3 linked regions of the Drosophila melanogaster genome follow. The protein of the gene in region 1 purifies or fractionates together with the protein of each later gene. This does not show direct contact. Each region holds a gene or a part of one and is shown on either strand. Other genes may lie near its edges.

Evidence for each region. The genes of interacting proteins can lie anywhere in the genome.
Region 2: the proteins of ATPsyngamma (region 1) and mEFTu1 purify together in Drosophila melanogaster (affinity purification with mass spectrometry, with the first as the bait; one large-scale study listed by BioGRID). This does not show direct contact.
Region 3: the proteins of ATPsyngamma (region 1) and ATPsyndelta purify together in Drosophila melanogaster (affinity purification with mass spectrometry, with the first as the bait; one large-scale study listed by BioGRID). This does not show direct contact.

What each region holds. Positions count from the first base shown.
Region 1 is NT_033777.3:29,747,174-29,751,057, reverse strand, and holds ATPsyngamma (ATP synthase, gamma subunit), read left to right. Parts: upstream 1-1,894; 5' UTR 1,895-2,234; exon of another isoform or gene 2,235-2,288; 5' UTR 2,289-2,310; coding exon 2,311-3,204; 3' UTR 3,205-3,343; downstream 3,344-3,884. Other genes in the region: yata, read right to left, coding at 1-77, 141-546, 607-830, 890-1,267; IntS11 (integrator 11), read right to left, coding at 3,661-3,884. UniProt on the Drosophila melanogaster protein: Mitochondrial membrane ATP synthase (F(1)F(0) ATP synthase or Complex V) produces ATP from ADP in the presence of a proton gradient across the membrane which is generated by electron transport complexes of the respiratory chain.
Region 2 is NT_033778.4:13,505,747-13,509,832, forward strand, and holds mEFTu1 (mitochondrial translation elongation factor Tu 1), read left to right. Parts: upstream 1-1,810; 5' UTR 1,811-1,912; exon of another isoform or gene 1,913-1,968; 5' UTR 1,969-1,997; coding exon 1,998-3,467; 3' UTR 3,468-3,586; downstream 3,587-4,086. Other genes in the region: mars, read left to right, coding at 1-112; mip120 (Myb-interacting protein 120), read left to right, coding at 3,951-3,981, 4,043-4,086.
Region 3 is NC_004354.4:10,211,269-10,217,893, forward strand, and holds ATPsyndelta (ATP synthase, delta subunit), read left to right. Parts: upstream 1-1,701; 5' UTR 1,702-1,806; intron 1,807-2,012; 5' UTR 2,013-2,018; coding exon 2,019-2,217; intron 2,218-2,291; coding exon 2,292-2,503; intron 2,504-2,830; coding exon 2,831-2,893; 3' UTR 2,894-3,728; coding exon of another isoform or gene 3,729-4,853; 3' UTR 4,854-5,280; coding exon of another isoform or gene 5,281-5,286; 3' UTR 5,287-6,125; downstream 6,126-6,625. Other genes in the region: CG2962 (uncharacterized protein), read right to left, coding at 3,729-4,853, 5,281-5,286.

The DNA of each region.
Region 1 (3,884 bases):
TCCGTGGAAGCGAACAGTTTGACCACGCAGGGCACAATGCGTTTCTGGTACTCCACCTCGTCCAGCAGTTTGCCCAGCTGCAAGATTATAACTCTTTGTGAAATCAAGTCATATAGGAGTATGCCAATTCAATAGACAACCTTAAACATGGGAGCCAGCACGGCAGAGCCCGCATCTCCGTACTCGTAGGCTGTTATCAGCTGTGGAAGAATCTTATGCCTGCACACGTTGTCCGGAAAGTTGTCGAGATGCGTGGTCAGACCACTGAAGAAGCGATTCTTCTCCGCCTTGTCCTTGATTTGGATCTCCTCTAGGAAGAGCAGTGTGTCCACCAAATCGTTTTTGAAAAAGCCTCCAGGCTTGCGGCAACGTGTGATTATATCCGCCGGGTTGGGACGATTCGAAGGCGAGGCGCCAACCAGCTCACAATAGAGCGATTGCAGGGACTTGGGTATGTGTTCTATATCCTTGAGGTTGGAGCGTTGCTTGAGCACACCGTTGAAAGCTTCCCACACGAGGCAGCCCAGGCCCCACATGTCCACGGAGCTGGTAGAGAATCCGATTTGAAGGATTATTAAAATAGTCTAAGGTGAGAGGATTACGTACCATTTGGTGGCCGCCTTGAGCTTGCTCGGATCGTTCTTTTCGGGGGAATCGTAGACCTCCAGGGTCACAGGTATTTTGGCGGGCGGCATGGGATTACCATCCGCCGCTGAGACGTACTCCAGGCTGCCCAGTTTCCATTCGCCGGAGGCATTGACAAACACCGACCAGGCGGAAACATTGTTGTGTCGCAGATTGCCATCGTTGTTGAGAAAGGACAGGGCGCGCTGAAAGGGATTGGTGACTTGGTTAGCTAGGGCAAAATATCAGGGATATGGATACCCACAGTGATCTGGAAGATGCCCCAGGCCAGGTAGAGGCCCTTTTGGACATTGTCGCTGCCCAGCTTGGAAAAGTAAGTGCCCAGCGGATCCACCGCCTCGGTGGCCACGTACAACATCTTGTCCGTTTCCAGCGAGTCCAGATACTGCAGGATGCTGGGGTGACGCAATGTCTTGAGGCGCTTCAGCGCCGCCTTGGCCAGCTCGCACTTGGTGTCGGATCCGCTACGGATGTCGTAGACGAACACAGACACCTCCTCCAGCGTCGTCTTGCGCTTGGCCTTGTGCAGCGTCCATATGGAGTATTGGTCAAAGCCGCCCACCGGTTCGCCAATGTCGTAGGGGAAGTCTTTCGAGGAGTCGCGCGAGAAGAACGACCACATTATGTGTTTTGCTCGGCGGCTCAATATTTTGTTACTGTTGTGTCACACAGCAACAGCAACAACAACAGCAACAACTGGCGATTGCAACTGCAACAACAACGCACTGCGCAGGCAACACACGCACGCACACACGCACGCACGCACTCACACACACGCACACCTTGTTGCTGCCACACAAAGGCACTGAAATCGGTGGAGCCCCGATTCTCGGTTTATCCTCAAGCACTATGCCTCTGTCTTTAGCCTTGGCTTGAGCCCTATCCTCCTCATGCCAATCCAGCCGCCTGATGTCCTTTATTTTCCTCCGATGCGCAGCAACAATTTTCCAGCTTTGCTTACGCACACACACACGCACACAGCTAACTTATCCGCTGTTTTTCGTCCCCAGAGGTCTCATCCCTGGGATCCCGGGTGTCCTGGACAGGGCGATCGTGTCTATGTGGCTCTGCTGCGGGTCGGGGGAGTCAGTAGATCGGATCGGGCGCTCGTCTCCGTCGAATTATCCTAATCTTTTTCCCGAGTACGTCAGCTTTTTTTTGCGTGAGGCGTTAGTGACGGAACTTCGTGGCTCGTGCGTGAGCAGCTGATTCCAAAACAGAGCTGGCAAGGAGAAGGAAAACTCTGGTCGAGGGTAGAAAACAAGCTGGCATCTTTGGCAAACCTCTTAATCCTTATCAATTATTATTCTGTTTTTAACTCTATTGTCATAATTATGAGTTACATAAATTCAAATTAATTTCAAGCTTTATTGTGCATTCTGAAGCTTTCCAAAGAAGTTTTGTATTTTATCCAATATTAATAGTTATATGTAGCACAAATCCATTATCCGAAATTTCCATAATTAAAATAAATTATTTAATATAATATTTTACCGTTCACCACGAATCGCCACCGCGTTAACCCGAACTGGGTGGCAACTCTGCTCGGTGTTATAACACTCGTTGTGGCGCAGCCAACTTAACGCAAGGTAGGTGAATTTTCTCAATTTTTGCCGAGTGAATCGAGCTAATTTTCGCGACAGGGAATCTTCGACAACTCACAGGATGATGATGCAACGCACCCAGCTCCTGCTGCCCCTGGCCATGGAGGCCACCATGCTGGCCCAGCAGCAGCGTGGCATGGCCACCCTGAAGATGATTTCCATCCGCCTGAAGTCGGTGAAGAACATTCAGAAAATTACGCAATCGATGAAGATGGTGTCCGCTGCCAAGTACGCTCGTGCCGAGCGAGACTTGAAGGCGGCTCGTCCTTACGGCATCGGCGCCCAGCAGTTCTTCGAGAAGACGGAGATCCAGCCGGACGAGAAGGCGGAGCCCAAGAAGCTGCTCATCGCAGTGACTTCGGACCGTGGTCTTTGCGGTGCCGTCCACACTGGTGTGGCCCGTCTCATTCGCGGCGAACTGGCCCAGGACGAGGCCAACACTAAGGTGTTCTGCGTGGGCGACAAGTCGCGCGCGATTCTGTCCCGTCTGTACGGCAAGAACATCCTGATGGTGGCCAACGAGGTGGGCCGACTGCCCCCCACTTTCCTGGACGCCTCGAAGATTGCCAACGAGGTTCTGCAGACCGGTTACGATTACACCGAGGGCAAGATCGTGTACAACCGTTTCAAGTCGGTGGTGTCCTACCAGTGCTCCACCCTCCCCATCTTCAGCGGATCCACCGTGGAGAAGTCGGAGAAGCTGGCCGTCTACGACTCGCTCGACAGCGACGTGGTCAAGAGCTATCTGGAGTTCTCGCTGGCCTCGCTCATCTTCTACACCATGAAGGAGGGCGCCTGCTCGGAGCAGTCCTCCCGTATGACTGCCATGGACAACGCTTCCAAGAACGCCGGTGAGATGATCGACAAGCTGACCCTCACCTTCAACCGTACCCGACAGGCGGTCATCACTCGCGAGCTGATTGAAATCATCTCCGGTGCCGCCGCCCTCACATAAGCGAATGGAATGTGTTCGAACAGCTCTAACGATTCATACAGCTAATTGCATATGGTGCCAGGCACCTGGAGCTACGCCTGGAGCCCTAGTAATGTTACTCTTTCAGAAAAACCCCAGAATAAATAGCGTGGAACGAACGAAAATAACTTTAACCATGGAGTCCTTACCTAATTGGAGTGGGAGGCAAGGAATTTGAAAGCACTTGCACAGGTCTGTTTGGTTTTTACACATTGATATCATGGGATTCGATTGCATTCTTATGCAAAGACCCATTGATATAACTTAATGTGCATAAAGTCTCAAATTTCAAGTGGCAATGACTAATGACCAAAAAACTATTGGAACGTTTATGTATATTTTGATACTCTTTAAACTTTCAGAAATTGGTGGTATCTACACTTTGTGCTTATCTATGGAATTAAGGCGTGGGATTTCAATGGGATGCTTCTTCGTTGCCTAGCACATATTCTGCAGCACATTCAGTATGTAGGCTCCAATGTCCTCGTCCTGGTTGGTCCACGATATCAAAATGTTCTTCTGCTTGGGATCCTTCTCGTCCTCCTCCACCTTCACCTCAACGGATTCGATGGCTATGGAGCCGTTCTCCTGCATCGTCACCGTCCAGCCGGCTAGCTTTTCTTCGAGCAGAGTCTTCAGTCTTTCGCTTGTGCGAATGACCG
Region 2 (4,086 bases), on another chromosome or scaffold:
CCTGGAACAGAATCCGGGAAGGGATTCCAATCAGGAGAATGAAGCAACTCCTCGCACGTACACGCTGCGCAATCGGCGGGTGAATCTGCGTCCCTCCTCCGAGTTTATGTAGTTTTGTCTATTGACAGTAATTGTCCGTTGTGGAATTGTTTATACTTTTATCTTCTTAGTTTAATATTTTTTTGCGGATGCCATTAAGTGTTAATTTATTAAGATGTTGAAAATTACATTTGGCGTTTTAAATGTTCGACGAGTATGTTCTGTGAAAATGAAAGCTTATTTTATTTTTAATTATCTATCTTACCTTGATTATAATTTAGACATAGTTAAAGGAATAAAAAAGAGAAGAATAAATAAATTTGAAATGCTTTTCTTATTGAAAGGGGATCGAAATTTAAAATTAACAATTTAATATCACAACACAGAAATTTGATTACGCGACTCAACTAGTAAAACTTGAATTTTGGAGTTCCAGAAAATTAATATTAAAATATTTGCATTTTTCAAGTTGTCTAAATAAATTTTAAGAATTTAGTTTTGGTATGAGTCTTTGCTAACATATTACCCAAGTCATTCACCTTCATGGCTCCGTATAATTTTGAAGTATTTTCCAGTATTTCCTAAGGAAATTTCAGTATATCTGCGTGTGTATGGCGGTATAATTTAACGGTAGCGACACGGTCTCACCCTGATTCATAAAAGTAAAGGAAGACCACTCGACGGCAATTTAAATTGAATTTTGAATTTTGCTGTTGCACTCGATTGTAAATACTCGTTGATAAGGCCGCCAAATGAAAGTGCACATAGCTGTGATATCGCGACGCGCATCTCACCGCAGTGACTAACCGCCTCGCGACCGTTTCGTTCGCCCGCGACGCCCTTTGAGTTCAACGCATTCACATTTCCCAGTGTGCAGATTTTCTTTTTGTTTTGTCCGCAGTCACCGCGCACTGCATTCAAAACAGCGCCCAACACACAATACGCGAACCACAGCGGCACAGCATACACAATACACACCCAGCATGGACACGAGTGGCGGAAATTTGGGTAAGGATCTGGTCATTTCGTATTTCAAATTGAATTTTCAACCTCTGGTACAGCGTGTACTCGCCATGGCAGTTGGGCCATTCGCTGGCGCGCAAATTGATCTCCTCGATTTGCGGCTCCCCCTTCGCTTGTCTACCCCCCTGCCACAACACCGGCAAGCTAACTTATGAGTGCGTATTGCATTGCGGTGTGCATATATCTGGCAATGGGTCTGAATTTAGATTTTTCGTAAGTTTGTGCACTCTGCTGACGAAACGAAAAAGTGCTTTTAACGATCTGGGAACATCCCATGGCGCTGCGTTGCCAGACAGCTTGTTACACACATGGGCATTTGTATGCTTGTGTTGGTGTTTTTAGTGGGGTACAGTCTTGGGGGCAAATGTTTTTACACTGTAAAAAGTATGCTAACGTGCAATTAGAGAATTGGCAAGCACATAAATTTAATTAGCAAGTTATATTTGGCATTGGTGTGTCCTATGAGTTTAGACGAGTTGTTGAGATGGGTGGTTAATGGGTGGAAAAAAACGCGCACAAAATAATAACGTCAACAAGGGGCTGCCACCCCTTTCAATGTTCTTATGCAAAAGTAGCAGTCAAATATATTACTCTATTTCAAAGTAAATATTTAAAGTAGTAGCCTGTTTTAATTAATGTTAATGTTTTATAATTATTTTACCATTATAAATTTTTTTTTTTTTAAATAATTTAACGTATCGATAAGTGGGTGGCCTATCGGACAACCTCCACCATGTGGCAACTCTGGCGCACAGCACATTTCAGGGTTTACGCAATTTCGAGCCGTAAGATTTTCTTCGACCTGTGAAAAGGCTTTTTACCCCCTGCCAGGATAGCTAAATCTTCACTCGTAAGTGCAGCAGGAGCTATCCATCGCGTAGCTCATATTCTAATCCACACATTTAGTTAAAAGCGCCAATAGGAAGCCCAGAACCATGTCACATGCATTTGCCGCCGCCGTCTGCCGGTCCACCGCATCCATGTCATTGGCCCTGCGCTGCAGCCGGCGCGCCATGAGCTCTGCCAGAATGCTGCGTATGGCGGGTGCCACTGCCACCTCCACGGCCTGCAAGGATTGGCAGAGAAACGGACTACTTGCTGCGCCCAGAACCGGCAACATGCAGCAGTACCTGCGCGAGTACGCCAACGAGAAGAAGGTGTTCGAGCGAACCAAGCCCCATTGCAATGTGGGCACCATTGGCCATGTGGATCACGGCAAGACCACGCTCACGGCGGCCATTACCAAGGTCCTGGCCGACAAGCAGCTGGCCGAGAGCAAGAAGTACAATGAAATCGACAATGCGCCCGAGGAGAAGGCTCGTGGTATTACCATCAATGTAGCCCACGTGGAGTACCAGACGGAGACGCGTCACTACGGCCACACAGATTGTCCGGGACATGCCGATTATATTAAGAACATGATCACCGGCACAGCCCAGATGGATGGCGCCATTCTCGTTGTGGCCGCCACCGATGGCGCCATGCCCCAAACTCGCGAGCATATGCTGCTAGCCAAGCAGATCGGCATTGATCACATCGTGGTGTTCATCAACAAGGTGGACGCCGCCGATGAGGAGATGGTCGACCTGGTGGAGATGGAGATCCGAGAGCTGCTTACCGAGATGGGCTATGATGGTGACAAGATCCCTGTGGTAAAGGGCTCGGCGCTGTGCGCCCTCGAGGACAAGAGTCCCGAGATCGGCAAGGAGGCGATCCTGAAACTGCTCCAGGAGGTGGATAGCTTCATCCCCACGCCTGTGCGCGAGCTGGACAAGCCCTTCCTGCTGCCTGTTGAGAATGTGTATTCGATTCCCGGACGCGGCACCGTCGTCACTGGTCGCCTGGAGCGCGGAGTGGTCAAGAAGGGCATGGAGTGCGAGTTCGTGGGCTATAACAAGGTGCTGAAGTCGACGGTGACGGGCGTGGAGATGTTCCACCAGATTCTGGAGGAGGCGCAAGCCGGTGATCAGCTGGGAGCTCTGGTGCGCGGCGTTAAGCGAGATGACATCAAGCGCGGCATGGTCATGTGCAAGCCGGGCAGTGTGAAGGCACTCGATCAGCTGGAGGCCCAGGTGTACATCCTGTCCAAGGATGAAGGCGGTCGCACAAAGCCCTTCATGTCCTTCATCCAACTGCAGATGTTCTCCCGCACCTGGGACTGTGCCGTGCAGGTGCAGATTCCCGATAAGGAGATGGTCATGCCCGGCGAAGACACCAAGCTCATTCTGCGCCTCATCCGGCCAATGGTCCTGGAGCAGGGACAACGCTTCACGCTGCGTGACGGAAACCTGACCCTGGGCACTGGTGTCGTCACCAGCACTCTGCCCCCATTGACTGAATCGCAGCGATCCGAGTTGACGGAGGGCAAGAAGGCGCGCGAGAAGAAGGTGGCGGCTAAGAAGTAGATCCCCGGAACGCCGTCAGTCATTAACTAAAATCATATTCTTAAGCGATTTTTATGCATATTGTATAAGTTGTTGGCGCTCCAATCACAATCGAGTAAAATATAAACAAACACCTATGGACAACGAAGTTTTAAAACTTGGAATATTAGTAGGGATCTTAAAATTGATTTAAAATAGTACGGCTTTTAAGTATTACTGTTGTTGCCTGACATTTCGGCATTTCAAAGGACTATTTGTTATATAAAGTTATGTAAGTAAGCATTGATCATTGATAAAGGGCAATATTTAATTTAGGCGCCACTCATCGATTGCTTATCGCTCTATGTTAACGGCATCCGAAATAGAGTGGTATCGAAATGGAGCCGATAAAATCAAACAAGGCCGATAATAACCTGACTACGACATTTTACAACACTGCTGCAACCGCCTTGAACGCAGCTGATGATAAAGAACATTTTGAAATTGATTTGAAAATTGGCAAAAATGAGTACCTACCGCGTAGACTACTTGACCGGTAGATTCAAGCACCGTAAACGTTTGTTTGCAAAGTAATTAATAACTTATTTTGTCCGCAGATTCCCTAGACGACACGGAACCATTGCCGGAGCTGAGTTTTGAA
Region 3 (6,625 bases), on another chromosome or scaffold:
TGTTTTATTCTTAATTAGTTGAGATTGACAACTAATCATAAAGATCGGATGACAAGAAAACCTACATATAATTTTGCCTGAATCAGATAGTACGAAGGGTATACACTTTTCGAAGTATCTAAAAGTACCGTAACAAAAAACAAAAGGAGCAGAAGATGAAAGCGAAGAAGCAAAAAGAGGAGCAACGACCCAACATTGTTGTTGTCTTATGCCGCTGCTTCTTTGCGATGTTGCCGTTCCGCTCGCACCGCTATAGCTTGGGGTCAATAGCTAAGGATCGGATCTGTTGTATATATGTTTATATAGACCGATTGCGGTTAGTTCTCTTATCAGAAATAACATGAAATATATTGCGTTGCGACGCCACTGGCGACCGCGACGCAGGCAGAGGGCAAGACAGCGGAGAAGAGAGTGAGTGAGAGTGTGACGGCGGAGAGAGAGGTAAACAAAAATACACAAACACATACACATGCGCGCTACAGCTGCTCGTTCACATGTGTATGCGGGCCTGTATGTGTGCAACAAACAAAAAGCAGAAAATCCTTCTCTTCTTCACACCCTTTTTCCACAACAAAGTCAGCTGTGTGTGTGAGGAATGAACTTTAAGGCAAGCTTTCTGTTTCTATTTTTTGCAGAGTTTTTCCAACTGAAAGGCGCAATTTGCTAAGACACCTATACACATACACGAAGAGCCAAGCAAAATAGAAGATATAACAAAACAAAATAGAAAATAAGCAGAGCGAAAAATATATAGACAGCTATCTATGCACACAAACACAAACATGGGGAAACACTGTTGTTTTTCGCAACTGCGTTTCGCCTGCAGGTGCGACAGAGAGGGCGCGAGTGGGTGACAAACTTGGGTAAATGTTGCAAGCACTTACGTCCTGTGTGTTTTGTTTGTTTGTTTGTTTGCTTGTCGCCTTTCGCTGTCGTTCGCCAACAAACACCTCAGCGCAGAGCACACACGCGACACGCACACACTCACACACAGTCACAGAGACGTGCACAAATAGCAGCCGAAAATGGCACTCTCTTCTTCTTCACTTGTATAATAATGCAGCAATCTGCATTGTTTCGTTTCTATTTCCAATTGGAATTTGTTGTTGTGCTGCCTGTGCCAGTGTGACCAGGTAGCGCGGTGGCTAAAAATAGTCGCTAACGCCAGTTTTGAATGTTGCGCGGGTAAAAGATTCGTGAGATACGAAAAAACTCCGAACTTTAATAAAAGGATCTAATAAAAAAGGAAATACTGAAAAAGAAACTAAACAAAATCAAAAACACCAGATTCATAACAGTATAAATGGTCGCATGGTTATGCCATGTAAACACACCGTTATTAATCAAAGTCTTAATCTAATAAAGGAAATTTCATTTTTTAAATTATAATTTTTGGAATAAATAGTTTTTCTTTTAATATCATTTTTAATGTACGATCAAAAGCAATATACAAAAAATTTAAGCTTTTAATTGGCGATGCCAGACTAATGAATTAAAAGAATAAGTGTTGCCACTAAAAGTTTATTGGTCTATATAATTTGTTTATTGATTGAGGCACTTTATTATTATAATTAAAACACTTAATTATTATGTGTGAAATGATTGCACTTTTTATTTTGTAAGAGCCTGTTGCGTATTGAAAATTTTGTATTTTGTCTTGTCCTCTAAATATCGTAAAAACGCGTTATTGCTAGATAAGTTTTGTATTCCCGGCTGGTCACTCTGACTTAAACGTTTTTCGCAAAAACAGCGGCTGATCACTGAAGTTTTCTCGTGTTTTTCGCTATCAAACCGAAATAAAAACAGGTGAAAATAACTGATAAATTGAGGGGTAGTCCACTGATCACAGTGCCCGAGGATTTGCAATGAAAAGCGATCGAAATTTGAGCTGGGGAAACGCAATAGCAGCCGCCGCCTAACCTACAAAGTTACATAATTTGGTTATTTTGTTGTTATGCTGGCTGGCTGTGGCAGAAAAGACTTTTAATCCTGAATTTATCCTCTCGTTGCAGCCCAAAATGTCCTTCGTTAAGAACGCCCGTTTGCTGGCCGCCCGCGGCGCTCGCTTGGCCCAGAACCGCAGCTACTCGGATGAGATGAAGCTGACCTTCGCCGCCGCCAACAAAACCTTCTACGATGCCGCTGTGGTGCGCCAAATCGATGTGCCTTCCTTCTCGGGATCCTTCGGCATCCTGGCCAAGCACGTGCCCACTCTGGGTAAGTTCGATCATTCAGTTTCAGTTGCCTCGAGATGGTTATATCACCGTTGGCGAATCTCTTTGCTATTGCAGCTGTCCTGAAGCCCGGCGTTGTCCAGGTGGTGGAAAACGATGGCAAGACCCTCAAGTTCTTCGTCTCCAGCGGTTCCGTCACCGTCAACGAGGATTCCTCCGTTCAGGTTCTGGCCGAGGAGGCCCACAACATCGAGGACATCGATGCCAATGAGGCGCGCCAGCTGCTCGCGAAATACCAGTCACAGCTTAGCTCCGCTGGCGACGACAAGGTGCGAATCTAGTCAAGAAGTTGCATAGTAGAGTAGTGTCTAGAAAGTAGAAGTAGTGGTCCAGAAAGTACAACTCAAACAGACTCTTTTGATGGAAACACTGCTTCCACCATTCACGCCAACTGGCATTTAAGTTACTAAACGATTTCTATGTGCCCATCCTTTTTACTTGATATACTTTCTTTGTACAAACAAGTTTGCTCTTAAATTAACGCTTACACATTCGATATTTCCATGAGTAAACTTATGTTTGAGTTGCTTTTGCATTCTGTATTGCACATTCTGAAGCTATCTAAACGAGACTTAACCACGATCCTTGTTTTGCAGGCCAAGGCCCAGGCTGCCATTGCCGTGGAGGTCGCCGAAGCGTTAGTCAAGGCTGCCGAATAGACGTAATCACCACACAACCGCCACCAATAAACCACAATCGATGCTTTGTGTCTGAAATAAATAAAAAACATAACGATCACCTTAAAAAGCCAGAGAGTTATGAAACAATAAAAAAGCGAATCATAATATCGTATTAATGACCCGTGATCCACCAGGCAAATGATTTTTTTTTCTTTTTTTTTTCATGTTATGCCGCTAAACTGTGTGTTTATATAGTTTATAATATATGTATGTGAGCTGGTGAAGAGAAATGTGTAATATTTGCTCGCTGTGGGATAGACCGTTGATATGATAATGCTTTGGCAATCTTTAAGTCAAAAATATGAGTGATTTGCATTTTGGCCGAAAGAGACGAACGTCGTTTCTTTTTCCCTTGCCAATTTATGCAAATCGCATAAGCATAAAAACTTACAATTTGTAAATGAGCTCGTCTTTCATCTTAACAAATAGTATAGTTTGTATTTCATCTGGTGTGTTGCATTCATGGATAGTTCGCATATCTTATCTCGGATGATTGTTTAAATTTCTCTCAAAAGTAGTAATAAAAAGCAACTTTGTTTTTTTTTTATGGAAACAAGAATTAATCAATGGCTAAAATTATACTTTTGGCAGATAGAAGATAATCCATTTTGAAACTCTTTATAAAGATGATAAATACTATAGAATTGAAAAAAGAAAATTGGATTTTTTTTTTTTGGAATTGTCTATGTATTTGGTAACAAAAAAATGTGTTGTAAAAAAAATGTCTTAAATTAACTCATGGCGTTGTGTGGGAATGGTAATATGCTGTCGATGTAGTTAGCAGGAAGGTCCTCCGATAGATTGGCGAATTGTTCTAGTATCCCGGTGGGCCGTAGGTCTGGGCAGGGGCGTGACCGATGGGCAGGGACTGCTCCTCGGGAGCAAAAACGGGTGCAGGAGCGGGATGTGGCACACTCAGGACGGGAGCGGGTGCTGGGGCGGCATAGACTGGAGCTGGGGCAGGAGCGGAGTAAACTGGAGCGGGAGCAGGAGCGGAGTAAGCTGGAGCGGGAGCAGGTGCGGAGTACACTGGAGCGGGAGCAGGAGCAGAGTACACAGGAGCTGGGGCAGGAGCGGAGTACACTGGAGCGGGAGCAGGTGCGGAGTACACAGGAGCGGGAGCAGGAGCAGCATAAACTGGAGCCGGAGCTGGAGCAGCATAAACTGGAGCCGGAGCAGCGATCTCCTGAGGAGGCAGGTAGGAAGCGACTGGAGCAGCCACTGGTGCGGGCACATCGATGGGGGCATAGGCTGGACCGGCAGCTGGAGCGGAGTGCTCATGGATCACACGCACCACCTTGGTGGCTCCACCCGAAGAGTAACCACCGGAGGAGTAGCCACCCGACGAGTAGCCACCCGACGAGATGCCGCTGTCGTGGCTCTCGTGAACGACCTTGATGACCTGGGACACGGCACCGCCGCCAACCGAAGAGCCGCCGATGAAGGATGGTCCAGCCACGGGTCCAGATGCCACATTCACCACCTTGACAATCTGCGGAGCGCTCTCGACCAGCGGGGCACTCACAATGGGTGCGGATTCCTGCAGGATCTTGATCACCTTGACGGAGGAGGGGGCGGGCCCAGCTGGAGGCAGATAAGCGGGTCCAGGAGCGGGTCCATAGCCACCGCCGCTGCCGCCAGAGATGACCTTCACCTTGAAGATCTGGGGAGCCGCCTCGTAGCCATAGCCGCTGCCATAGCTAGCGCCGGAGGAGTAGCCAACGCCGCCCTGCTGATGGATCACCTTGACCACCTGGACTGGGCCACTGGGTCCATGGCCGCCATAGCCGCGAGCGCCACTACCACCGCCGCCGCCTCCGTTGCCACCACCGCCTCCGAGGTTAAGGCCGCCACCACCGCCTCCACCGCCGCCACCGCCGAGGAGTCCCAGGAAGCCAGCGTTGGCCACAGCGAACAGAGCACACATGCAAACGAAGACCTGGAAGGATGGCAGAGTATAAGAAGCGATTTAGTTTCATGTTTCATGTTGCATCCTTAGAGGATTTTAAAGAATATATAAAGTTCATTAAGTTTTTGTTATGTTTTCCAATTAGAAAGTAGAGTTTTATCGCTGGTTTTTTTTTCTATATCTTTAAAGGATCTTTGATCTTCATAGACTGTATTTTCCAAATGGATATACTTTGTATTCATTCTTTGTTTAAATATTTTCATTTTCAATCTTCTGATATTCTTCAGCACACTTTGTATTTGAATATTAACTATCACTTCTTCGAAAGTTCGAAAGAATTTAAACTGAGCTCAGGATGCTCTTGCCACTTTGTCACTTTTCAAATCAGTTTGGATAAATAAAAAAAAAAAAACTAGAAGAGGATATTTGCCGGCACAGGACATTGTGAGCAGCTCACCTTCATGCTGACTACTAATCCACTTGATGCGATGATACCAATTCCAAAAAAAAAAAAACGCCTTGAGTGCCGATGAGCAAGCGACTGATGTCCGATCGATTGGAGACCAAGTCTTTTATACGATATAAGCCAGCAAGGGCGAACAAAAGGCGTTTCATTAACATTTCCAAACTGCCCATCAACGCCATCATCATCATCGCCACGATGATGAGCAGCATCATGATGATGGGCTTTCGTTTTCATTTCGATTTTCACCAAATGCTGCTGGACGCACCCAAAAGTGCCAATCGTCGTGGTTGGTTCTTCCATAGCCAGTTGGATTCGGAGCTACCAGCTACCAGCTACCAGCTACCAGCTACCAGCTACCAGCTACCAGTTTCAGTTTCATCAAGTCTTACGCTGCATTTCCCAAATTCCGAATGGGGATCCCACAATTAGCATGAAAATGAGACGCTACGTTAGTGATAAGCTCGGAATGGGGCTTTCATATTTCGTATTTTTTTTTTTATTCGGCATCTTATGTTTTATGGTTTAGGTTTTCGTTTTCATTTTGATTTTGATTTCGATTTGGATTTTGGATTTTGGTCAATTCAATTTGCATACACGGGCGTGCTGCAAAGCGGTTGCCTCACAAGGCGGCCGGCAGTCTGTCATAAACCAAAGCGAAAACCTAACCCAACCCAACCCAATCCAATCCAATCGAAACCAAACCAACCCATTCCATTTCACCTCATCCGGCAATTTCAAGGTGAATCTGAATCGGAATCTGTTGTCAAGCCGAACCATCTCATTGATGGTGGCTATATTCCATCTATATGCAGGTATTTATAAAACGAGCCGATTATTATGCAAGCCACCAGTCGCATCTTCGAGCCATGTAAAACGCATTATGTTGGCCCAATAGGCCAAAGATGTTGTAAAATTGGCCAACGGTTCGGATCAGTGATATCTGTTGGCGCATTTTAAATAGCCACTAAGTATTACATACTTACAACAATAAACATATGTTTATTTACACAAATATTCAACATAATCAACTGATGTGCATATATATATATATCCATTTAGAATCATATTTCTACTCAGTTTATAACAATTTTATAAAATACTATCAAATTGTTCAAATTGGTTATGCTTTTCGGTTAAGAAACGTATTAATTTATACCAAAAAAAAAAGAGATTTTCAGTGGGCAGATCAGATTGGTGGGAAATCAAGTAATATCCAAGAAATGGTTGGCTAACCTGCACTCTGCCACTAATCGTGATTATGATCTTGTCGCGGTCTATTATGGTTTGTTAATTGATCCATGCATGGAATGCATCTGTTGAGAAACTACATACATAC